Linked DNA regions of Drosophila melanogaster. The protein of the gene in region 1 purifies or fractionates together with the protein of each later gene. This does not show direct contact. Each region holds a gene or a part of one and is shown in the gene's direction. Other genes may lie near its edges. The genes, in order: Cap-G, glu, Cap-D2 and SMC2.

The links.
Region 2: the proteins of Cap-G (region 1) and glu purify together in Drosophila melanogaster (affinity purification with western blotting, with the first as the bait; one study listed by BioGRID). This does not show direct contact.
Region 3: the proteins of Cap-G (region 1) and Cap-D2 purify together in Drosophila melanogaster (affinity purification with western blotting, with the first as the bait; one study listed by BioGRID). This does not show direct contact.
Region 4: the proteins of Cap-G (region 1) and SMC2 purify together in Drosophila melanogaster (affinity purification with western blotting, with the first as the bait; one study listed by BioGRID). This does not show direct contact.

What each region holds. Positions count from the first base shown.
Region 1 is NT_033778.4:13,131,237-13,136,168, forward strand, and holds the start of Cap-G (chromosome associated protein G), read left to right. Parts: upstream 1-1,905; 5' UTR 1,906-2,077; coding exon 2,078-2,323; intron 2,324-2,393; coding exon 2,394-2,570; intron 2,571-2,646; coding exon 2,647-3,461; intron 3,462-3,520; coding exon 3,521-4,932. Other genes in the region: CG13326 (uncharacterized protein), read right to left, coding at 1-1,136.
Region 2 is NT_033779.5:16,733,110-16,740,204, reverse strand, and holds glu (gluon), read left to right. Parts: upstream 1-1,816; 5' UTR 1,817-1,927; coding exon 1,928-3,063; intron 3,064-3,124; coding exon 3,125-3,749; intron 3,750-3,810; coding exon 3,811-4,124; intron 4,125-4,185; coding exon 4,186-5,869; intron 5,870-5,937; coding exon 5,938-6,408; 3' UTR 6,409-6,588; downstream 6,589-7,095. Other genes in the region: ChLD3 (chitin and LDLR binding deacetylase 3), read right to left, coding at 1,011-1,209; Nubp1 (NUBP iron-sulfur cluster assembly factor 1), read right to left, coding at 6,638-7,095.
Region 3 is NT_033777.3:29,673,691-29,680,789, forward strand, and holds Cap-D2 (CAP-D2 condensin subunit), read left to right. Parts: upstream 1-1,960; 5' UTR 1,961-2,039; coding exon 2,040-2,166; intron 2,167-2,243; coding exon 2,244-2,715; intron 2,716-2,775; coding exon 2,776-3,671; intron 3,672-3,731; coding exon 3,732-3,873; intron 3,874-3,928; coding exon 3,929-4,016; intron 4,017-4,070; coding exon 4,071-6,488; 3' UTR 6,489-6,567; downstream 6,568-7,099. Other genes in the region: ppk19 (pickpocket 19), read left to right, coding at 43-232, 290-533; Bub3, read right to left, coding at 585-1,373, 1,427-1,618; CG7582 (uncharacterized protein), read right to left, coding at 6,801-7,099.
Region 4 is NT_033778.4:14,848,087-14,854,345, reverse strand, and holds SMC2 (structural maintenance of chromosomes 2), read left to right. Parts: upstream 1-1,692; 5' UTR 1,693-1,791; coding exon 1,792-1,959; intron 1,960-2,018; coding exon 2,019-2,330; intron 2,331-2,392; coding exon 2,393-3,122; intron 3,123-3,178; coding exon 3,179-3,606; intron 3,607-3,663; coding exon 3,664-3,933; intron 3,934-3,989; coding exon 3,990-4,183; intron 4,184-4,236; coding exon 4,237-5,674; 3' UTR 5,675-5,725; downstream 5,726-6,259. Other genes in the region: Ciao1, read left to right, coding at 1-394; Ercc1, read right to left, coding at 544-732, 791-1,381; CG10209 (uncharacterized protein), read left to right, coding at 6,144-6,146.

The sequences.
Region 1 (4,932 bases):
CGCCGCAGCGCTTCCGGATGGTGTGACATGCGATGAAGTCCCTGGATGACGTAGGCAGCCGGAGCCGGCTTGTTCTGCATTAAACAGGTGAGGAACATGTCTGCGATTTCGGCCTTGTGCATCCTTGGTAGGAACTGCTCGTACTGAGCCGTCTCAGCGAAAATCGATATGATGGTGCAGCGCATCTCCAGCGGCATGAGGTCCATGTGATTGCGCACCTGCTCGACAACCTGGTCGAAGAGGTTCTGCTCGAAGAACAGCTTGGTCATCTTCTCGGATCGCAGAGCTGTGGCCAGAACCTCGATGACATCGGCAGCCTCCGGCCCTTGTGGACTCTCGCAAAACACCTTGACCAACTGCTCCAGCACGAAGTAGCAACGATGCAGTGCCTCGAAGACGCTATCGTCGCCAGTGTCCGCCAGCAGAGTCTTCAATGTTTTAAGGGCCGCCTTGCGGATCTCCTGGAACTCGTTGGTAACCTCACAGATAATACGATCTACCGGAAAATCCGGCTGTGTTGTGAAATCCAGCATTTGATCTGCACTCTGGACCAGTAGCATCCTATGCAGTGCCTCAATCGAGTTGAACACGGTGTCCGGATTCTCCGAACTTATGAACACCAACTTAAATTTCTCCAGGAATTCGGTGGCCTCGACAATGCCATGTGCCATCTGGGGATCCTTCAGGCACACATTGAGTATATACGTCAAGTACTCGATGCAGAAGTCGTCCACCTCTTTCATGTAGAATCTGCACGCCAGCTCCAGGATCTGATCCGCTTGTTCTGGCTCATAGGTGGACATGTCCGTGTTGTCCAGCAGAGCAGTGAGCAAGTACAGAGCAAAGCGGCGGATCATCGTGTTCTCCGACGCGATGAACAAATCCTTCTCCAGCAACAGCTCCAACAAGCGATGGGCCTTCAGTTCCAGCACATTCACATCCTGGCGGCGGGCAAAGTCCGTTATGTGGCTGAAAATGGTCAGCAGGACACACTCCTCCTTTGAACTCAGGAGGAGCAGCGCCGTATCCAGCTTCTTGATCGGCACACTCACTTCCGTGAAGGATTTCTCCTCGGACTTGGTGCGATCCGGGTAAGTGGACTTCGCCTCATAGACGCGCTTCGAAATTCGCGACATGTTTGAAGAGATTTCGCGACAGTATCTATTTGTATATTTTATATATGAAAATAAACATTTATCAAATGACAATTTCTCTCTAGCTAGCTTTTATTTTAACTATATGATTTTGGTATTACATTAGGCTTTTGTTTTGATTTTAAATTTGCGCCTTCTTCATTTAAGCGCCTGAAAGTATGCAACAATATATATGATTGACTGGTTAATAATTGTGTAAACTCTAATGGTACATCAGTTTTCGGAATTCGGAAAAAGAAGTTCCGAAAATGTGGAAATCTTTATTTACTTATACGTAATCCGTATTTGAGCATCAAAACGTAAAACGTGTCTGAAATTTACCATGAACGTACATTAACATTAACTCTCTCTGGGCAATTTCTTATCTGCCAGCTGTATTTCCTATTGAACAACGGGTATTTTGAAAGATAAATCTCTGTTTTGTAATATCCCCCTTATGTTCTTGAAAACCCACCCTTCGTAAAATCCCAACTGCCGCTTCTAGAAAATGATGAGTAGTGCAAAAAATCGTATACATGATATTAAATATGGCTTCAGATGCTATGATATTTCACAGTCTTTACAAAAAGGTTTAACGCAGCAAATGATGATCTTTATACGTCATTTAAATATCGGAATGTTTGTTGAAACGAAAATGTGTATGTATACATAATTCCGTTAAATTTAAAATGGAGCACAGCAATCGATAGGCAACATTCATTCACATTTATCGATCTTAACACTAGAAACACACTAAAAAATACATACGCATCATTTGAATTTAACAAGCGAACGGGGGTGGAATGAGGAAATAGCAATAACGCGACGCTTGTTTGTTTCGCCATCGTTCGATGCAATTTGAAAACAGTTTTTAAGATTAAACCGTAAAATACGGAAATCTAGTATTGGCTGCGGACCACAAAAAACGGAATAAACTATTCGGAATGGCCAAACCAAAGGCGAAGGCGGGCGAGACGGAAAAACCCAAAACCAAGGCAGCGGGAGGAAAAAAGCGTCTGGCGGCCACCAAAAAGACGAAAAAGGATGGTGAGAAGGAAAACGAGGATCAGAGCGTGGCCACCACCTCAGACACATCCGCGGAACTCATGTACGCGATAATGCGACAAGCCGAGCTCAAGGAATCCCTGCACAAGCGCTACTCAAAGGAGATGCAGCAACTGTACGCAAAGGTGAGTGGCGTCGAAATTATTGTATATCAAATTTGGGATTTCAGGGTCTAACACTGTTCATTATCGACAGATGGGACACGAGTCCTTTCGCAAGGCCTTCATCAACGTGTTGAAAGCCGTCCTAGGGGCTGAGGAGGGCAATGAGAACGCAAACATGGCCCTCAACTTCTGCGCCACTTTCGTCACCAGCTCAGATTCGGATGGTACTGAGCCCATGCTGGCCGAAACCTTTCATTGGCTGCTTACGGTGAGTGTCTACTGTACCTACTGTGCTGACGAATTGTGTTCCTAATGCTAGTGCCTTGTTTTCTCCGCCCCCACAGACCTATTCGAGCAACCCGCACATACGTTATCGCATCTGTTACTTTGTGAATCTTATACTTAAGGAGCTCGGACCCAATGCCGCCTTGGATGACCACCAGTGCGATGATATACTGGAAGCAATGCTGGACCGGGTGAAGGATGTGTCCGCCAGTGTTCGCAAACAGGCCGTGTTGGCCATGCAGCGCCTTCAAAATCCAGACAATCCCAGCGACGTCGTCGTGGGCGCGTACATGTACCATCTCACATCCGATCCCTCGCCCAACGTGCGTCAGTGCATCATCACGTGCATGGGCCGAAATTATATTACCATTCCGCACATCCTGGAGCGTCTTTGGGATGTCGACGAGAAGGTGCGCCGACACACTTACGTCAACATGTGCAACTATCCGGTGCGCTCTTACAAGGTTGCCCAGCGGCTTACCCTGCTGGAGCAGGGACTTAACGATACATCGGCAACCGTGCGCAAAACAGTGATCAACTTCATGCTAAAGACGTGGATTGAATCCTATCAGCAAAACTACGTCGCTCTGATAGCGGCTCTCAAGCTGGACTCGAATGAAGAAGAACTGCTGCGCTTTCGACGCGTGGCCAAGCAAATGCTTAGAGTGATCTTCCAGCAAACGGACATCAAGCAACTCATCGATCAACTGCCGTTAAGCGAAGACTGCGAGCTGCACCGCTGCATCCCACACGATTCAGTAACCGTAGAGCTGTTGTTATATTGGCAGTGTCTTAGCGAATATCTGGAGACGGAAGCGCCCGAAATCGAATCGCTGTTGCCGGAACTTAGTGTCTTCTGCACCTATATGGATAAGTAAGTCACGGAATCTAATCCTTACCGCCAGTTGGTACTAAATGTATTCCGTTTTGTAGATTCTGCCAGTTTCAAAAGCCCGATATGGACAAGTTTGCCCAGGTGGAGTTCCAGAACATGCTCCTCTCGCTGGTGGAGATATTAGAGACCTACGATCTAGGCGACGAGATCGGACGCGGAAATATGCGTCTGCTGATCACCAATCTGCTAAAAGACTGTCTATTGGACCACAAGATCGTGCGCGTGCTGGTGCGCTGCATGGAGCAACTGATCACCGACACTAACGATCGTATACAATATTTTATCGAGATCATATACGAGCTATGCGAACTGAACACCAAGCAGAACGACCTGATTCACGATCGAAGTTTGATCAATAAGTTGCTGGACGACTTGGACACTCCGCTAAAAATGAAGATCTCTTCCCTGAAAGTTAAAATTCTTGAATTGGAAGAACTGGAGGGTAATTATGTGCGCCAGAGGGAGTACATACGGGCGCAGTCCGTAAACGATGAAAAGATCGCTGTCACCGAAGAGTACACCGAGCTAATAAGGCCGCTGCTGGAGAAGCACGGCGTGATTGAAATGCCCACCCGACCGAAGCTCTCCAAGCAAGAGCGCGTGCTGAAGGGTCTCTACATCTCCTACTACATGACCGCCTCGCCGCACGTCCACAAGCTGACGCCAAGTCTTTGCCAGTTGTACAAGGACTTCATTTGCCGTTACCTACCGTGCGCCGAAGTAGACATCTTTGAGTGGTCCATTAAATGCGGCACCACCTTTAGCATTTTCTACGAGGCCTACAGCAGAGAGGTCTTCGAGGTAGTGGTGGTGCAGTTTTGCAAAAACAATAACGTCCGTCTGTGCGAAGCGTCGGCCAATTGCATTTTAGAGCTATTGGATCGCTATGGAGTGGATTACTTCAACGATCTTAACCAGACCGGAGGTTCACTGTCAAAGACGAAGCGGCGACAACTGTACACGATGCAGGAGCTATACGATGACGACGATGGCAGCCAGTCGCAGAACAACGAGCAGAATAGTGACATCCTCGTGGTACTGGGCCACTATTTGGAGCGAGTGCAGCACAGAGGTGTAGGGATGGCAATCGTTCGCGGCCTCTGTCGCTTAGTGCTCCGTGGCCACGTCGACGATCGCACGGATGTGCTGGAGCTACTGCTCAAGCGGTACTTTAACCCAAACACCGAGCCTATTATCAACCAGGTGCTGGGCTTATTCTTCGAAGAGCTGAGACGCCTGAACAAGCATAGTCTCCTACAGCCGTGCTTCCTACCCACCGTTTGGACCTGCAACTATGACTCGCCGCTTCACGGCGTCCAACCTGAACACTTGACCAAGTTCTTCCTCGAAATGACAGTGCAGGAGATGAGCACGCCACAAACGAATATCCACAACAAAATAGCGATAAGTTTTCTGCAATACATTCAGAACTACTTTACGGAGCGCAAAG
Region 2 (7,095 bases), on another chromosome or scaffold:
TTGGACTTCGATGACCTTTTTGATTGGCTCGAGGCCTCAATTAACATTATATTAACCATAATGTGATCTTAGATGATCTTCCGCCGTGATTTAAACGTGATGGAAACAATAGTAAGACAACTAGTCACGAAGTACAGCTGGCACTAAACTAGCACTCAAAATTATGTTGACTTGCCATTTAAAAATATTTTTCCAATTTATATGCACTGGCAAACTTGGAAATGATTATGAATATTGAAAATATTGGATAAATATTGCTAGAATTGAGTGTAAACTATGGAGCACCTTTGAGATAAGTATAGTAAATTGTTGAACTTTTTCAAATCACTTGTGTAATAGGTCTTTCTGAAACTAACGCCAGCTCCACCCACTTGGAAATGCGTCCCAGCCATGTGCCACATTGCGGCGGACGGGTTGAAATGCGTTTGCATCATGGATCGGCAGCAATGGCCCGTAGCCGTGCCGCACCATATCGTAACTCAGGCGGTTGGGCAAGCGACGCGTGTTGGCCAAATGCAAGATGCGATCTCAAGATTGGAGATATGTGCATACATATGTGTGACTATAGTAGATAGACCGACTGACTGACAGTCCGTGTGTGTATATCTCCATCTCCATCTCGATCTCCATCTGAATCTCAATCTGCAGCTCTAGCTGAATGTCTAGCTGGGGCAGCTGGGCATTTGCAGCATTTAGAAAGTAAATTTATCATCTCCGCCGGCCAGAGAGGCCAAGGCAGCGGGTCAGGAAAATTTCAGCAACTGTCATGGGGTTCAATGCACACGCTCTTTTTAGTTTTTTTTTTTTTTTGTTTTGTTTTTTGGGGACGGGTGCGGGCATGTGGACAACCCGACTTGGCCCCACTTGGCTGGTCGTTTCGTGTTATATAACTCCTTCGATTCGATCGACAACTTTCACACCCAATGTGCGCATGCGCGCATGAGCATGCCAAAAACTAAATAAATTCAGTCGTACCCAATCGAAAAGCGAACAAAAGGGGAGAAAATTACCAATGACCAGGGCGTCCAGCGACGACGACATAATCATAAGCGCCACCATCATCCAGATGCACAAACTGGGTAAGCGGTGGGCGTTGGGAATTCGCGCTGTTGGTTGTGGCTTCGAGCGTCGCTGGGCGGAAGCGACGACCTTGACTGTGAAACCCGTTTGGCCATTTGCATTATAGGCATTTTCCCCCGGGCAGAGCATTTTTCAGCCTGCTTTCCACTTTGCCACTCGCGTTTGTGTTTGGCTGCTTGCTTTGAGCGCTTTAATCTTGCGCGCGATCGGAAAACCGAAGGAAAAACCGCCAGTGAAAATGGTTCCGCACCGAGCCAAAGTCGAGTTGTGACTAAAGTCGTGCGAGATGCAGCCAAGGCATTATATATATTTGGGCATTTCTCTGACTTGCGGATAGCGGAGAGAAAGCTCCGCGCAGTGGGTGTCTCGCTTATGTTTTTGGGGAGCGCAGAGCGCGCTGAGTTATTCATAATTTCCAAACTATTACACGGCTTTTTTGGAAATTAAGTAGTTTGCTTGCTTATTATGAAATTCATTTACTTTACGATGAAATAAATGTATTTCATTATTTTGCTAACTTCATCGAAAAAACTACTTAGTTGAGTTTTATTGTGATTTAATTAATAATATTTCATATTATATTTACAAATATCAGTTTCATATATGTTTTAGAATATTTGAAATTTGTTCTTAGCGTCGATGTAACGACTTTTAATTTAAATTCAAACTACAGAGCTGACAACTCGCCTGATTTATTTAACGGCCTTGCCAGTATTTTGCGGGCACATCAAGACGGTCACACTGCTGATAGCGTCCTATTACCATTGGCGCCCGAAAAAGCGATTTTGTAATTCGAGGATTTTTCCTGGATAAATCCACACGGAGAATTTACTGAGAATAGCGCACGATGCAGAAGGCGCGTCCCAGCAAGGGCACGCCCAAGGCAGCTGGCGGAGCCCGGCAGAGCGGCCAGTTTCGCGTACCGCAGCTAACTGCTCAGCAACAATTGCGGGCGCAGCAACAACAGGAGGAGGAGGACGCCGCCGTGGACGCGCTGGATGATGCACTGATCTTCGACGACGAGGAGGGCGGCACCCGGATCGGCGACATATACATACCGCCTCCGGTGCCGCCACATTGCTCCATGGAGAGCACCGGACCGCGCCTGATCATCTCGAAAATTGTAAATCGGAATTTCAAGAGCTATGCGGGCGAAGTGGAATTGGGTCCCTTCCACCAGAGCTTCACTGCCATCATTGGACCCAATGGCAGTGGCAAGAGCAACGTTATCGACTCCATGATGTTTGTGTTTGGTTGCCGCGCCAATCGCATCCGTTGCAAGCGTGTCTCCACCTTGATCCACTCCTCGTCTAGTTATCCCAATTTACGCAGCTGCTCGGTCGCCGTCCACTTCAAGCAGATCGTAGACAAGGGCGACGGCACATGCGAGGACGTGCCCGACTCCAGCATTGTTATCGAACGCACTGCCATGTCGGACAACTCTTCCTACTACCAGATCAACGACAAACGGGCGCAGCTCAAGGATGTGGCTAAGCTGCTTAAGAAGCATCATGTGGATCTGGAGCACAATCGCTTCCTCATTCTGCAGGGCGAAGTGGAGTCCATTGCCATGATGAAGCCAAAAGGGCAGACTGAAAATGAAACTGGAATGTTGGAATACCTGGAGGATATTGTCGGAACACAGCGCTACATTCGCCCACTGCAGCAGATAAACCAACGGGTAGATCAACTCACAGACGACCGAACAGAGAAGCACAACCGCTGCAAGCTGGCCGAGCGCGAGATGAAAGATCTGGAGCAACCGTTCAATGAGGCCGTCGACTATCTGAAGAAGGAGAATGAGCTGGTGCGCACCAAATCCTTCCACATCCAAAAGATCATCAGCATCAAAAAGAGCAAGCTGGAGCAGTACACCCAGGAGCATGAAGCCTGTGCGGAAGAGCTAAAAACCCACGACGAGGGCACTGCTGCCCTGAAACAATCACGAGCCGAAAAGGAAACAATCATCCGAAAGGAAATTGAGTAAGTACCTAGCTTCAACTTCAAACTGAGCTATATATTACATTACATTACGTAATTTCAGAGAATACGAAGCTCTAGTGAAAAAGCGCGAACAGATCAAGAAAAGACTTGTGACTGTTGAGAGTGCCTACACAGAGATCCAGAGCACAATGGAGAACACGAACAAGCAGCGCAAGAAGGACAAAGCCCAGATAGAAAAGAACGAAAAAGAGCTGGAGGATCTGCACAAGTTGCCGGAGAAAAATCAGCGCGAGATCGAGGATTGCAACAAGAAATTGGAGAGCCTGGAAGTAAGTAAGGTGACACTGAATGAGGAGCTTGAAAAGCAGCAGGCCGAGTTAACTAAAACCACTGCACCGCTTACCGAGAAGCGCCTTAAGCTCAGTGACGAACTGGTGGGCCTTAAGGAGAAGGTCAACACGGCTAAAGGAGAGGTTCAAGTGTTCGAGTCGCAGCTCAAGATCCTTAAACAGGCAGAGACCACTGAGTCTAGGAAATATGAAACCCTAAAAAGTTCGTACGAGCAGTCGCAGAAAAGTCTGGAGGAGAAAGTAACAAGGGTGGACGAGCTGAAAGAAAGCATTCCACGGATGAAGACCGAAATTGCCAGCAAGTCCGCGGAAGTGGACAAAATGGTTAAAGAGGAACGCAACCTATCCATGCAGTGCAACAAACTAAGAACAGAGGTATGGTTCATTTATTTACATTCTATACTGTTCTTCTATTTATAAATACCTTTTCCGGCAGATCAATGAAAGATCTAGCGTCATGCAGGCTCAGCGATCCAATAACAAGGTCCTAGACTTCCTCATGCGTATGAAGATGGAGGGAAAGATCCCTGGTATTCTAGGACGCCTGGGTGATTTGGGTGGCATAGATGCCAAGTACGACATTGCTATTTCGACTGCCTGCGGGCGGTTGGACAACATTGTTACGGACAACTATGAGACCGCATCGGCGGCCATTGGCGCTTTAAAGGAGTACAACGTGGGCAGAGCCACCTTTATTACGTTGGACAAGATTGAGCACCATCGTCGTGAGGCCAACTCCAGGATAAATACGTAAGTAATAGTAACAGAATGAATGGAAATGGTTATTAACACCATTCACGTACTATTGCAGACCAGAAAACGTTCCTCGTTTGTACGATCTGGTTAAGGTTGAAGATGACCGCGTACGAACCGCTTTCTATTTCGCCCTACGGAACACACTGGTATGTGACGATCTAGAACAGGGCACCCGCATCGCCTACGGCAGGGAACGCTACCGAGTTGTGACCTTACGTGGTGAGATGATCGAGATGACGGGAACCATGTCTGGTGGCGGCAGTCGTCCTATACGCGGAAAAATGGGCACCCAGGTGCGCACCAAGACGGCAGAATCGGCTGACAGTTCGCAAATATCTCAGAAGGCGTTAGAAGACATGCAGATTCAGGCGGAGGAGTTACAGGCCCGAGTCAATTATTGCCAGGAACAGCAGGGCAGTCTTGAGCGCGAGATTCAAACCCTGAAGAATGGCTTGCAGCGTGACGAGGCGGAGTACAAGCGGCTGGCGGTGAGCATCACTTCTTTGGAACAACAGATGGCCAGCAACCTGAAGCAATGCGAGGCGCAGCGGCAGCGAATGCTCAAGAAAACAACAGACGAAAGGGCAGTCAAGGAGCGGGAGGAGCAAATAGAAGCAGCGAAGCAAGAGCTGGAACAAGCACAATTCGCCGAACAGGCTGTCTCCAGCCAAATCGAAGAGATCCAGAACCAATACGATACCCTTAGAAATGAAAGTGTCAAGCCTGTGGAGGCCAAGATCAAGAAGGTAAATAGCCAGATAGAAAAGCTGGCCGCCAATGTGCGGTCCTTGAATGTGGGCTTGGCCACAGCAGATCGAAATATAACGAAAATCACTGGAAACAATAATAATCTCCGTGAGAATATAAAAGCTGCAGAAGAAAAATTGAAATCGTTGAATGAGGATCGAAATAAGGCTAAGGAAAAGAAGGAGGAGTTGGAAAAGGAAATAGAGGAATCGGAAGCGTCCATCGAGGGCGCCAAATCACAATCCTCCGATATAAAAAAAGAAATAGATGAGATCACCAAGGAGGAGAACAAACGAAATATCGAGCGCATTGAAATAGATACTAAGCTGCAAGCTGCAGCGGGAAAAATGAACAAGGTGAAGAATGACATTCCCGGATGGCAGGCTCAACTGGCGCCTTTGAAGCTCAACGAGATTCCAGGAGAGACTGAACCGCAAGCGCCACTCAAAGAACTCAACGAAGAAGAGCTGGAGGCAGAGACTCTGGAAGCCTTGCAATATAAGCAAACTATGCTGGAGGAAGATCTGAAAACAAAGAAGCCCAACTTGAGTTGCATAAAGGAGTTCAACGAGAAGCGCTTAGTCTACCTCGATCGCGTCCGTGTGCTGGAGGACATCACCTCCAAGCGCAATGAGATGCGCGACAAGTACGAAGAAGTTCGCAAGCGACGGTACAAGGAGTTCATGGATGGCTTTAGCATTATAACAAGAAAACTGAAGGAAATGTACCAGATGATCACACTGGGCGGCGATGCTGAGCTGGAGCTGGTGGACTCCATGGATCCGTTCACCGAGGGCGTAAATTTTACTGTGCGACCGCCAAAGAAAAGCTGGAAATACATCTCGAATCTCTCAGGTGGTGAGAAAACTCTCTCCTCATTGGCACTTGTGTTTGCCCTGCATTATTACAAGCCCTCTCCGCTGTACTTCATGGATGAAATTGATGCGGCGCTGGATTTCAAGAATGTGTCTATAGTGGGTCACTATATCAAGGTAAATACCTCTCTGCTTTCTTGCCTTACATTCACATTTTAAAGCCAATTGTTGTTGTGTTCACTTAGGAACGTACGAAAAACGCTCAGTTCATAATTGTTTCACTTCGTGTCAACATGTTTGAGCTGGCCAACTTCCTGGTGGGCATATACAAGGTCAGCGATTGTACGGACTCCATCACTATGCTGAACTATCCGCCTACGCTGCCCACTCAGTCGCCAGTGGTCGCTAACAGCCAGTACGTGGGTGGAACAATTGAGGGGGATAACACGATAGCTGCCGAGAACCAAGACGATACCCCCACGAAGAAGAGCCAATCGCCGCCGTCAGAGCAAATAGTCCGCTTGATTAGTGAGTTGGGGAGGGATACCACATTTGCGCCGCCCTTGGAAAGTACGGTGAGGGACACAATACTCGCGCAAAATCTGAAACAGGCCGCCACTGAGGTTGCTGCTCAACCGTCAGATGCCACGGGAAGAGTAACCACGGATGTGTCCCTAGCAAGCCCGCCATCTTCCCCAGCCATACTTAATGTTTAACTCCAACCTACTTCAATATTGTAGAATGTTTTCTTATCCTGTAAAGGGGCATGTTGTAAACTGCCTGGTAATCTAATTTCTGGTAAAGACCGAGACGTAATTTGATGACCTCAGGTGAATCGGTATTTCCAATTGGTATTATCCTTTCAATGCTTAATAATAAATGTTACATAAAATTGTACAGGCATCTTTTTTTTTATTTAAAAACTGAGTGGTCTTTAACTTATTCTTAACTAAAGCTGGCCATAATCTTTGAGCAAATTCCTTCCAGCGCCTCAGTGGTGACATTCTTAAACTCAGTTAAATCCTCGCCAGAATCGCAGGCTTTGGATATCTGTTGATCCAGAGGCAGGGAGCCCAACAGCGGGATTCCCATTTCGGCGCACATGGCAGCGGCTCCTCCGGTTTTGGCTGGAAAGATTTCGGAGCTATTTCCACAATGGCCGCAACGGAAACTGCTCATATTCTCGATCACGCCCACAATGGGGATATTTTGCTTTTTACAAAAGTTGATCTCCTTGCGCACGTCCAGCAGAGACACCTCCTGTGGAGTGGTCACCATCACGGCGCGCAGGGACTCCGGGTTGGCGTCGTCTTTCAGGTACGAAACCACAGACAGGTGCTCATCGGAAGTTCCAGGTGGTGTGTCCAGTAGCAGGAGATCCAGATTTCCCCAGTCCACCTCGC
Region 3 (7,099 bases), on another chromosome or scaffold:
TCGTAATTATTCTATTACATTTTAAATTTTTTTTTTTTTTAGATGGAGTTCCGGAATGTGGAATCAACGATGCACAATGCTTGGGCAACAATTCCGATATATTCACTTACGTGAAGATGGGTGATCAGGAGAAATACATTAACGACTCACGACAGGGTCACTTTTGTGATTGCCCAGACAATTGCAATTCACGGCTGTACGAAATGTCACTTAATGTGCGCAAATTGGATTAGTAAGTTCAATGTATATATTCTTAAAGAACAGATAATTAAATTCCCCTCTCTTTTAGCCCAAAAAACTCGACAGATCAATTGATAAAAGCCCAGGTTTATTATGGCCAACGTGTCATGACCAAAATCATTACGAAACTCAAGTACACCAATATAGATTTACTGGCCAACTTTGGCGGGATCATAAGTCTGTATATAGGGGCCTCCGTCATGAGTTTTATAGAGCTTTTATTTGTGCTGGGAAAACTGATGTGGGGTTTCATCAGAGATGCGCGCATAAAATTGAAAGAGTATACTAAGTAGCTTACTTTAAAAAATGATGTAAAACTTTGCCGTAAACAAGTATATATAACATTATTTCTGTTTAGTTTCCTGGTCCGTGGGATAGCGTATATAGATAGCCGGATGTGGCACTGTAGCCGGCGTCTCTGGCAGTTGGTCCAAGTAGGAGCAGCCGATGGCCAGGGCGCTGCCATCGGAGCTGAAGTTGAGCGTGGATATGGAGGTATCGTATTCGTGGAACTGACAAAGGCGCTTCTTGTTGAAGCCATCCCAAATGTTCACAATGCCATCGGATCCGCCAGTGGCGAACGTCTGATAGACATTGTGGAAACTCAAGGCATTAACGGGGTAGATCTGTTCGATATTCTGCTCCCTATTCCGGTGGCACTTGAAAGCGAACTTGCGGCGCTGCACCTCAGGATCGTGATCCAGGTACTCCACTGCCACCCGTCCCTCGATGGAGGACATCACGTAGCCTTCTTTGTTGGGGAATAGACGAATGCAGCGGGTCTGGTACTTGAGCGAGGACTCCCGCTTCATGATGTAGCTGTCCATCTTGCGAAGGTCCCAGATGAGCACCTTGCGGTCGGAGGTGGCCACCACGATCTTTTCGTCGATCACGGACATGGAGTACACCTTTCCGTTGTTCTGTTCGAAGGTTCCAACGCAGCGCTTCTCCCGCATGTCCCACAGCTTCACGGTATTGTCCCAGCTACCCGTGAGGATGCCATTGACATACTCGGCGTGCTCCACGCATCTGATGGGCTCCTCGTGGGCACCAATTATGCTTTCCGCCTGGGTGTTGACATCAAAGAGACGCAGCTGGTTGTCCAGGGAGCCACTGACCACGTGCACTATGTCCTGCGGATCGTTGGTTGAATAGGGGATTGTTAATGTGTACGAAGGAGTCTCACCATGAAGGCACAGTCGAGAAGAGGGGCATCCTGCACGAATTTCTGACGCAGCTGGTTTGCCGGCACATCATAGAATCTAAGTGTTCCGTCCCAAGAAGACGCCGCCATGTATTGATTCGATTTGGGGCCGAATTTCACAGCGGAGATCAGGTCCTCCGGCGGATTGTTAAGCTTGAACTCTGGGGGACGCATTTTGTCAAGTTTTCTGCTAGCAACTTGTGGATAATAAAACAATAAATTCAAACAGAAACTGCTTAAAACAAATCAAACTCCGAATTTGCACGGCGTCTGGAGAAGAGATGCGAGTATTTCGATATCACTATCGATACATTGCATATTTGCATCAAGGGGACTCCCTAAACAGGTACACTTTTAATAATGTAAAAAATTTTACAAACCCCTGTTAAACCAATATAAATTTAGTTTTTGTGGTAAGTATCTATCTGATAAATACACCCTCTCATTATGAGCATTGTAAGCTTGCAGTCAGCAGTAACCGATAACCGATATCAAGCGATCGATTTGGCGGCGAATCTGCCCATCTCTATAAGCGACGCCACTCAATTCAGAAGATACAATTATTATTTCGCGGTAAATAGGAGTAATAACCGCCATGGAGGAATCGCACGACTTCCAGTTCGTCCTTCCCCTGAATGCATCTGATCTGATCAACTCCAGCGGAGATCAGTATTACGTGAAGGAGATTTTTGGCGCCCAGGAGATTCCCGCGAAACTACAAGGTAAGTTTCCGTTTTCGCGGTTGGTTTTTAAATTGAGTACAGTTTTCGGACGCGCAATCTTCATGTTTCCTTCCCAGAATGCAAGCGCAAAGTGCACTTGGGCGATCCTTTTTATATATTCGAGCACTTCGACTTGTATTACTCGATCATCGAGGCCCGCGGTTCAGATGGCGCCTCTGCACAGAATCTAATGAGGTCCTTTGACCTGCTCTACCTGACCGTGGAGAAACTGTTCCAAGACTTGCAGCCCCTGCTGACGGCCAGTGAGCCCATGTCTAACCAGCAGCGCAATAGTTACCTCAACCTGACCAAAATGACGCTGTTCCTCCAGGTGAGCACCGTCAAGAAGATCAACAACAGTGTCCAGCAGGCCATGCGGGATCAGCAGCTCAATGTTCAGAAGAAGCGTGCCAAGCCATCGGAGGGATTGGAGCAGTTTCCCAACTGGGAGGTTAAGCGCGGCAAGTTCTTGGTGCAGCTCTTCAACGTGCTGCAGTGCCCGCTGGAGAAGCTCTGGAGTCCGCCCGTAGCCGAGGAGGACTTTATAAAGTAAGAGCAAAGCATTTAGCATCCTATTTCTTCGATCTGCAATGTATCCATCTTCCCCAGTTTGCTCTGCGACCCCTGCTATCGAACAATCGAACTTTTGCCGCTTCGCATGGACAACAAACACGTATTCGACACGATCTTCCAGATCTTGGGCACATCGATCAAGCGCTTTAACCAGGCCATGACCTTCCCGGTGCGCATTCTGCAGATCCTACGCGGTACCGAGCATGCAGCCCATTCAGTAGCAGCTGGAATTTTGCTTCTGCACGAGGAGTACGGAATTTCTTCGGTCTTCTCCATTCTAATCAAGAGCATTGTGGATGCTCTAAGGATGGACAGTTCTGACTCTTCGGTGTCCAAACACTTCTCCAATTTCCTGGCCGAGTTCTCGAACATAGCACCTTCGCTGATCGTACCGCACCTGGAAAAGCTGGCGGAAGATTTACTAGATTGTCAGTCTCACACGCTGCGAAATTGTGTGCTCCAGATCATCGGCGACACCGTGGTTAGCGAACTGACCTCGGAGGATCTTAGCGAAGAACTGAAGGAAGTACGCAATGAGTTCCTCGAGCACCTAATGGCCCACATCCTAGACATTTCTGCACACGTGCGCTCCAAGGTGCTCAGTATCTGGCATCACCTGAAAACCCAGCACGCCATTCCGCTTAACTTCCTGACCAGAGTGCTGGAGGAAGCCATCGGAAGGTTGGAAGACAAGAGCTCGCTGGTGCGGCGTGCCGCCATGCATCTGATCAAATCCGCCCTGGAAAGCAATCCATACAGCAGTAAGCTTTCCATAGATGAACTCCGTGCCAAGCATGAACACGAGGTGCAGGCAATGGAGAAACTTAATGAGGTACTCGAGGAAGAGCGCAAGCAGGAGGAGAAGCTCAACGACGAGTTTAGCAGCTTGGCGCCCGAACTGCTGCCTTTCATAGAGGAGAACCTTACGGAGTGTGAGTTCATGCAGTTCCGCTAGTTCGACGTATATATTAAAGTTTATTGTTATATTACAGTTCCCGATATGCAGTTCGACAAGGAGGAGAGCGACGAGACCTTGATGGAGCGGATCATTCCGCTGATGCGCGAAAAGAACTACAAGGATGTTATTGTTCTAGTGCGAAAGGTAGACTTTTTGGCGGGAAATCAGAATATGAGGTATGTTGCTAATCAAAGATGGTTTTGTTTTACCATAAATATATTTACTTTCCAGTTCCTTACTGAAGCACGAGGAGCATTGCGTGTATGTGCTGGCCTTGCTAAAGACATATCACCTGCTGGCTGCTGGATTTAAACAGAGCGTATGTTTAATCTTAGAAAGTTATATTCCCTTCTAACCAAATCTTTTAATTTAGAGCGAGGAAATGCTGCAGCAAATCAAAACGGTGCAGTTCCTAAAAGACAGCATTGACTTTGCCGTCTTGATGACTTCAGCCTTCCCCAAACTGCACGAGATGCTCATGTCCAAGACAAACACGGATGTTTTTGAGGCGGTGGACTTGTTCACCACCGGGTACATGTTCGGAATTCACGGCACGGAGTCGGGAATGCAGAGAATGCTGCAACTGGTCTGGTCTTCGGACAAGGAGAAACGAGATGCAGTGTCGGATGCCTACAAGCGCGTTCTGTTCTCCACGGACCAAACGGGTCGCGCTCATGCCATTAAGGTGGTGCAGAACCTGTCGAAGTTTCTTTCGGAAATCGAGTATGGTCACTACACGGCCTTGGAGTCGCTGATGACCGAGTGGGTGTTGGGTGGCGACATCGATGCTGCTGTCATCCAGGTGCTCTTTGAGCGCTTCACGCTAAAACTGGAGGGCACTACATCCAACGAATCTCGCCTGTCGCTCCAGCTCCTGATAATGGCCTCGCAATCGAAGTCTAGTATTGTTTCGGCCAACACTGCCATCATCGAGGATATCGCCGTCGGAGAGCGGGTGCGTCGGGATCCACGGATATTTACCTCCTGTCTGCAGCTGCTGGTCAACTCAATCGATGCAAACAACACTGCCAAGTATTATAAGCGTCAGAACAGCGATGCAGAATTCGTGGGAAAGATCACGCGGCTCTTCCTCGACTTCTTTTTCCACAGAAGTCTATACGACTTCGACGCACTGGCCATGAGTGTTTTTGAATACTTCTATAGGATGTGCCAGGCGCCGGATGTGATTGCGCAGCAACTGGTGACGGCTTTACTCAAGCAATTCAATGAGAGCTGGCTGGTCAAGGAAGCGGCTGCAATAGTTCCCTCTCCAGACAAAGCGGATACGGAAACTGTTCCGGACTCGCAGCCCTTGGAGATTCCGCATTCGCAGACCCTTACTCCCACTCAGACTCAAGCTGATAGCCAATCGCAGATGCAAGGCACCTTGATTCCCGTGTATCTCGTCTCCCGCTTAATCTTTTGCATCGGCTACATGACCATCAAGGAGATGATCTTTCTCGACATGGATATCTATAATAACATGAAGTATCGCGACGAGCTGACGGCTCTTGAAGAGCGTAAAAACCGCAATCAGCAGGCGGGAAGTTCACATAATGCGGCCAGACTTACGCTTAATATGTCAGCGATGGAGGTGCGCAAGAGGCTGTCCGGAGTGGCAGCGGAACCACAGCAGGAGCCAGACGACGATCTGGTGGGAGCGACTGCAGAGGACAACATCGCCGAGGAAATCCACGGCATCTGCGAGGACATGCTGCTTTACAACCCGGATGCTCTGCTCTCCAAGCTGGCGCCATTTATCATAGAGATTTGCAAGCGTCCAGGTGAGTTTGGTGATCCCACGTTGCAACAGGCCGCTACTTTGGCTCTGGCCCGGCTCATGACCGTCTCCTCCCGTTTCTGCGAGTCCAACATGAGCTTTTTGATGAACATCCTCAACCTAACGAAGAACATTCGAATCAAGTGCAACACGGTGGTGGGGCTGTCGGATCTCACTTTCCGTTTCCCAAACATCATCGAGCCGTGGACGGGGCACTTCTACGCTCAGCTGCACGAATCGAACACCGAGTTAAGGCTAACTGCCGTCAAAATGCTATCTCATCTGATCCTCAACGAGATGATACGCGTCAAGGGTCAAATCGCCGACATGGCACTTTGCATTGTGGACGGCAACGAGGAGATTCGCAATATCACCAAGCAGTTCTTCAAGGAGATAGCCAACAAGTCGAACATTCTGTACAACGTCCTGCCAGATATCATCTCCCGTTTGGGGGACATAAACCTCAACCTGGATGAGGACAAGTACCGCATTATCATGTCCTATATCCTGGGTCTCATCCAGAAGGATCGCCAGATTGAGACGCTAGTGGAGAAGCTGTGTCTGCGCTTCCCGGTAACGCGGGTGGAGCGTCAATGGCGCGACATCGCCTACTGCCTCGGCCTGCTCACCTACAACGAGCGAGCTGTGAAGAAGCTAATGGACAATATGCAGCACTACAGGGACAAGGTCCAGGTGGACGAGGTTTATCAGTCCTTCAAGCTCATCATTAGCAACACCAACAAGTTGGCCAAGCCGGAGCTCAAAGCTGTAGTCACCGAGTTCGAGAACCGACTGAACGAGTGCCTGCAAGTCAACCCGGATACCGCTGCCCAGGGTGATCAAGAAAGCACTCCAGAAGGTCAGGGCAACAGAACCAGAGCGGCGCCAAGGACAAAGAAGGGTGGTCGCAAGCCGGCGGCCAACAGGAACAATACTGTGCGAGGACGCGGAAGACGTGCTCGCCGGGATTCCACCTCAGAAGAGAGCTTCAGTTCCAGCAGCAGCGACTAGTTCGTGCTCCATCTTAAGTTACGATCTGAGCGGGTTTTTAATGATGTACAAAGATGGTTTTTAATAAAATAGTTAATAGAACCTATTATTGATATATTTATTACTTTGAAGTCAACAAACATCTAGTAAACTACTAAGATCCGTTTCCACATCCATCAGAAAGGGAACAAATATTTGGTTGCACTAAGCTACTGGGATGGGGAAACCAACACACGTAAATGGCAATACTCTAGACGCTTTGGAAGTACTAAGTTTGGTGGTTGCGTTCATGTTGTCTCTGGGCCTCCGACAGATGAGCACTGGGCACTGGCTTCACTTAATTTTCTTGCGAAGGGAGCGCTGGAGGGCAGGACCGTCGTCCGCGGTGCTCAGCGCAATGGCAAACTGGGCGGCGTAGTAGGTGATCATGATCTGGAGGCGGGCGCAGGGCAGGGGCACGCCCACGAACATGGTGACCGCGATCAGGGCGTCGGAGATCACAAACAGAATGGCTCCGATGGCACAGAACACGGCGAGGAAGTTCCTGGAGTCCACGGCGCGGGCCAGCGATCTCCACAGCATTGTGGTGATCAGGAAACAGTAGATGGGCACTCCGATGATGAGAATCTCGT
Region 4 (6,259 bases), 1.7 Mb from region 1:
TGGCGAGCGCCTGGTTTCCTGTAGCGATGACACCACAATAAAGATTTGGAGGGCCTACCATCCCGGAAATACAGCCGGAGTGGCTACGCCCGACCAGCAAACCGTGTGGAAGTGCGTGTGCACAGTGTCCGGGCAGCACTCGCGGGCTATCTACGACGTGTCCTGGTGCAAGCTTACAGGTCTGATAGCGACTGCCTGTGGCGACGACGGCATTCGTATCTTTAAGGAGAGCAGCGACTCCAAGCCAGACGAACCCACGTTCGAGCAGATAACCGCGGAGGAAGGCGCTCACGATCAGGACGTAAACTCGGTGCAGTGGAATCCTGTGGTGGCCGGGCAACTGATATCATGCAGCGATGATGGCACCATTAAAATTTGGAAAGTGACCGAGTAACATAAGGATTATTGTTTGATATATTTAAGTGGGTAATTCTGGAACTTAATTTTTGTACAGTGTCTGCGTAATAAAAAATTAAAGTATTCAAATGATGGATGAAGTGTGTCATACACGATTATGGGATGCATTACACCTAATATGGATTGCTATTTGCTGAGGAACGGTTCCTGCAACGTTTTGTACAGCTTCTTGGCCTTCCGGGGACCCAGTCCCATCACCTGGGAGAGTCGCTCCTCGCTGGCATTGATTATGTTGCCCAGGTTGCCAAAGGTGTGCAGCAAGGCGGCAGCATCAGTCTTGTTCACCGGCTTGATGTTGGTGAGAGCAGCGAGTAGCTATGGACATTGGGATATTGCATTACAGTGGCGATACTGGCAATGTAAACATGCGTACCTTCTGGTGTGGATTAGACTCCACTCGCTCCATGATCAAATCTGGCGGACGCTTCTCGAACTGTTTGTACGTCTCAATGATTTTGCCCGCCTCCTCAGCGTTCCAGGCCAACATCATTGTCAGGTCGGCTAACAGTGATATCCTGGTCAAGCTCTTGAGGGCATTGTTTGGCTCTGGTGTGTCCACCTGGACCAGTAGCACCCGCAGCTCATACATCTTGCCCAGAGCCTTCAAACGCTGGCAAATGTAGTCGGGATTGAGATTATGGTACTTTAGCGAGAGGTACAGCACGCAGGATGTTCGACCGACCACATAATCGGGCACGATGTCGTCGCGGAATTCCAGCGGGACATTAAGTATGGATTTCAGGATGGGGTTACCGCGCTGTTTGCTGTGAACAAGGACGCAGTGCGGATTTGAAGCCGGCTTGCCGGGTGCGGGTCTGCCGGATCCACTAGGTTCCGTACTATTGCTAGGAGCAGGATTCACTGCTGTGGCCGCTGGGGCATCTACTTTCGGTTGCTTTGCAGCCGTTGGCATTTCCATGGCGCCCAGAACATCGTTAAAGGAATCATCGTCGAAGTCTTCCATTTCGGTATTTAAATAAAACAAACTGAAAAGCTCAAGGTGCGATTAGATTATCAGGTGACGAAGGCACTTAAAAACTAAAATTATTACACCATTTTTTGTAATAAAAGTTCCGGGGGTCATAAGGTAGCTTAATTAAACGTTAAAATAATTGAATGAAGCTATAGATTAGTTAAATTTGTATAGTCATACATAAGTATTTTAGCTGAATTTAATTGGGTTCATAGCATTTTTAAATTGTTGCCTTGTATTGCATTTCGTCACTAGGTGCACTTTTATCGAAAGCATTCCTGCCCTGACATTTCGATATGTATTTCAGATGCCGTGCCACGGTCACACTAATTGCGGCAAATTTTTGACGCGGAATTTAACGAAAAGAACGCCAGGAATTAAAAAAACCGCTTAGCATAAAAATGTATGTTAAGAAACTAGTGCTCGACGGCTTCAAATCCTATGGCCGGCGCACGGAGATAGAAGGATTCGATCCAGAATTTACGGCTATCACGGGTCTAAACGGCTCCGGCAAGTCAAACATCTTGGATAGCATTTGTTTCGTACTGGGAATTAGTAATCTCCAGAATGTGAGTACCAATTGGATATGTCTGGGGCTGGACTTCAACGCTTATCTCTGTGCTACCAGGTGCGCGCTTCGGCTCTACAGGATTTGGTGTACAAGAATGGGCAGGCGGGCATTACCAAGGCCACTGTTACCATTGTGTTTGACAACACAAATCCCGCCCAGTGTCCGCAGGGCTACGAAAAGTGCCGGGAGATCTCTGTGACGCGCCAGGTGGTTGTCGGAGGCAAGAACAAGTTCCTCATCAATGGCAAGCTGGTGCAGAACAAGAAGGTGCAAGACTTCTTCTGCTCCATCCAGCTAAATGTAAACAATCCCAACTTCCTGATCATGCAGGGCAAGATCCAACAAGTGCTAAATATGAAGCCCAAGGAGGTGGGTAGCCAGAAAAACACAACCATAAATAGTTCTCCATCTAACATAGATATTTCCCCAAGGTTCTGTCAATGGTAGAGGAGGCAGCGGGAACCAGTCAGTACAAAACCAAGCGAGATGCCACCAAAACCCTGATTGAAAAAAAGGAGACCAAAGTGCGGGAGACCAAGGTCTTGCTCGACGAGGAGGTGCTGCCAAAGCTGGTTAAGCTGCGCCAAGAACGCTCCGCCTACCAGGAGTATCAGAAAATCTGCCGCGACATAGACTTCCTCATCAGAATTCACATCTCCGCCAAGTATCTCAAGCAATGCGAGACCCTCAAGACGGTGGAGGCTAATGAGCACAAAATCGAGGATCGCATAGCGAACTGCAAGGCCACTCACGCCAAGAACCTCGCAGAGGTCGAGAGCATTGAAAACTCCGTGAAGGAGATGCAGCAACAGATCGATGCAGAGATGGGTGGCTCCATCAAAAATCTCGAAACCCAGCTCAGCGCCAAGCGGGCACTAGAAGCTACCGCTACGGGTAGCTTGAAGGCGGCCCAGGGAACGATTCAGCAAGATGAGAAGAAAATTCGCATGGCATCCAAAAACATTGAGGATGATGAACGAGCCCTGGCAAAAAAAGAAGCGGACATGGCCAAGGTTCAAGGCGAATTTGAAAGCCTCAAGGAGGCAGATGCCAGGGACTCAAAAGCCTATGAGGACGCCCAAAAGAAGCTGGAGGCTGTCTCGCAGGGACTCTCCACCAATGAAAACGGAGAAGCCTCAACACTGCAAGAACAATTGATAGGTATGTCTGTCGGGGATGAAACTAAATCATTTTAATTACCTATATTCCCGCTTTAGTGGCCAAGGAGCAGTTCAGCGAGGCACAGACCACCATTAAGACCTCAGAGATCGAGCTGCGTCATACGCGTGGCGTATTGAAACAGCGTGAGGGTGAGACCCAGACCAACGACGCTGCCTATGTAAAGGATAAGAAGCTGCATGATCAGTTGGTGGTTGAGATTAAGAACTTAGAACGGCAGCTACAAAGTCTCGATTACGAGGGCGGTCATTTCGAGAAGCTAAAGCAGCGACGCAATGATCTGCACATGCGAAAGCGCGATCTGAAACGAGAGCTGGACCGCTGCAATGCCTCCCGCTATGATCTGCAATACCAGGACCCAGAACCAAACTTTGATCGGCGTAAGGTGCGTGGTTTGGTAGGCAAGTTGTTCCAGGTGAAAGACATGCAAAACTCCATGGCTCTAGTCCAGACAGCCGGCGGAAGTGTAAGTTGTTAAATCTGATTTGAAAAGTTATTTCTTTAATCACGAGTTCTATGTTAGTTATATAGCTACGTGACGGACGATGATGTGACTAGCAAGAAGATCTTGCAGAGGGGCAATCTTCAGCGTCGTGTCACTTTGATTCCCATCAACAAGATTCAATCTGGTTCGCTAAACAGAAATGTGGTAGAATACGCTCAAAACAAAGTGGGCGCCGAGAATGTCCAATGGGCCATGTCACTGATTGACTATGACCGCTATTACGAGCCTGTCATGAAGTTTTGCTTTGGCGGAACACTTATCTGCAAGGACCTCATTGTAGCCAAACAAGTGAGTATATATATTTCTTTTTCTGTACATCTTTTAAATGCATTTTTTTTATCTAGATCAGCTACGACCCCCGTATTAATTGTCGTTCTGTGACTTTGGAAGGAGATGTCGTCGATCCCCATGGCACAGTGTCTGGAGGTGCTGCTCCTAAAGGTGCTAACGTTCTAGAAGAATTGCACGCAATTAAGCAAATAGAAAAGGAGTACAGGGAGATCGACTCTGAGATAGCCCAAGTGGAAAAGCAAATTGCGTAGGTGAACCAGTAACTTCTCATTGCCAATACTTACGCCTATCTGTTTTTAGATCCATTGAAAACCAGGCCCTCGCGTTCAACAAAATGAAGGAAAATCTTGACTTGCGACAGCACGAGCTAACCATGTGCGAGAACAGGTTGGCCCAAACAACCTTTCAACAGAATCAGGCTGAAATTGAAGAAATGAGGGAAAGGGTCAAGACCCTAGAGCAGCAAATAATTGACTCCCGTGAAAAGCAGAAGACCTCGCAAGCCAAAATAGTGGATATCGAGGCGAAGTTGGCAGATGCAAAGGGTTATCGCGAGCGAGAGCTGAATGCAGCCACCAACGAGATCAAGGTGACCAAGCAAAGGGCGGAGAAATCTCGTGCGAACTGGAAAAAGCGAGAGCAGGAGTTCGAAACTCTTCAATTGGAAATTACTGAGCTGCAGAAAAGTATCGAAACTGCAAAGAAGCAGCACCAGGAAATGATTGATAACCTCGAAAAGTTTAAGGCCGAGCTAGACGCTCTGAAAGTAAATAGCTCCAGTGCCGCGTCCGAGGTGACGGAGCTCGAACAGGCGATTAAGGAGCAGAAAGATAAACTGAGAGATCAGAACAAGGAGATGCGAAATCAGTTGGTCAAGAAGGAGAAAATGTTGAAGGAAAATCAGGAGATTGAGCTGGAGGTGAAGAAAAAAGAGAACGAACAAAAAAAGATCAGTTCGGATGCCAAAGAGGCAAAGAAACGGATGGAAGCCCTTGAGGCAAAGTATCCGTGGATTCCGGAGGAGAAGAACTGCTTTGGCATGAAGAATACTCGGTACGATTACAGCAAGGAGGACCCCCACGAAGCAGGCAACAAGCTGGCAAAGATGCAGGAGAAAAAGGACAAAATGGAACGCACTCTCAACATGAACGCTATCATGGTGCTGGATCGCGAGGAAGAGAACTTCAAGGAGACCGAGCGCCGGCGAAACATTGTGGCGATGGACAAGGAGAAGATTAAGAAAATCATAGTGAAGATGGACGAAGAAGAGCAGGATCAGCTGAACAAAGCCGCTACCGAGGTGAACACGAACTTCAGTGGGATCTTTAGCTCCCTTTTACCGGGTGCTGAAGCGAAACTCAATCCCGTCCATACCAATGGCTGTCTGACCGGTTTGGAGATTAAAGTCGGCTTCAATGGCATATGGAAGGAGAGTCTCGGTGAACTTTCTGGTGGCCAGAAGTCCTTGGTGGCTCTGTCCCTTGTCCTGGCCATGCTTAAGTTCTCTCCGGCTCCCTTGTACATTTTGGATGAGGTGGACGCTGCCCTGGACATGTCACACACCCAAAACATAGGTAGTATGTTGAAGCAGCACTTCACCAACTCGCAGTTCTTGATTGTGTCTCTCAAGGATGGTCTCTTCAACCACGCCAACGTCCTGTTCCGCACTCTCTTCGAGGAGGGTGTGTCCACCATCACCCGGCAGGTCAGCAGACAGGCGACAACCAACAAACGCTGAAATGGAACTCGTTTACTTTCTTATCACTTAATAAAACTTTAAAAATACCATATAAAACTGTTCTTATCATTTTAATTGTGAATTTTTTCAAGTTTTTTTAATTCGCAAAAAAGGTTGTGTATTACAGCAATATACTTATTTCAAGAGCCATCGGTCAATATACTTATTGCTACATTACTTAAATCAACGAAATAAGTAATTTAACTACAAATTTAATTTTGTAACGGTCGTTTGCGCATCAGCTGATTTCCAACCGGGCGGGCGAAACGTCAAACTGGTGAGACCGTCAAACGCACACACACACATACGCAGCGGACAGAAGAAGAAGAACGAAAGGCAGCAACAGCAATGTTTGAGGGAGTGAAAAATTAAACAAAAGTCCCCGGAATTCAGCAGCAAAAACTCGACGGCGGTTGAAAAACAAAACATCAAGATTTCGAGCCAACGCAGACTGCTTCAAAAGCTCACCATGGTAATTTGCAAGGTTCCAAAAATTACGAATCGTCCGATTCTTTTACCACACACACACACGACTTGTGCGTGTGTGTGTGCGGGGAGCAGCAAAATATTGTAGACACCGCTGGC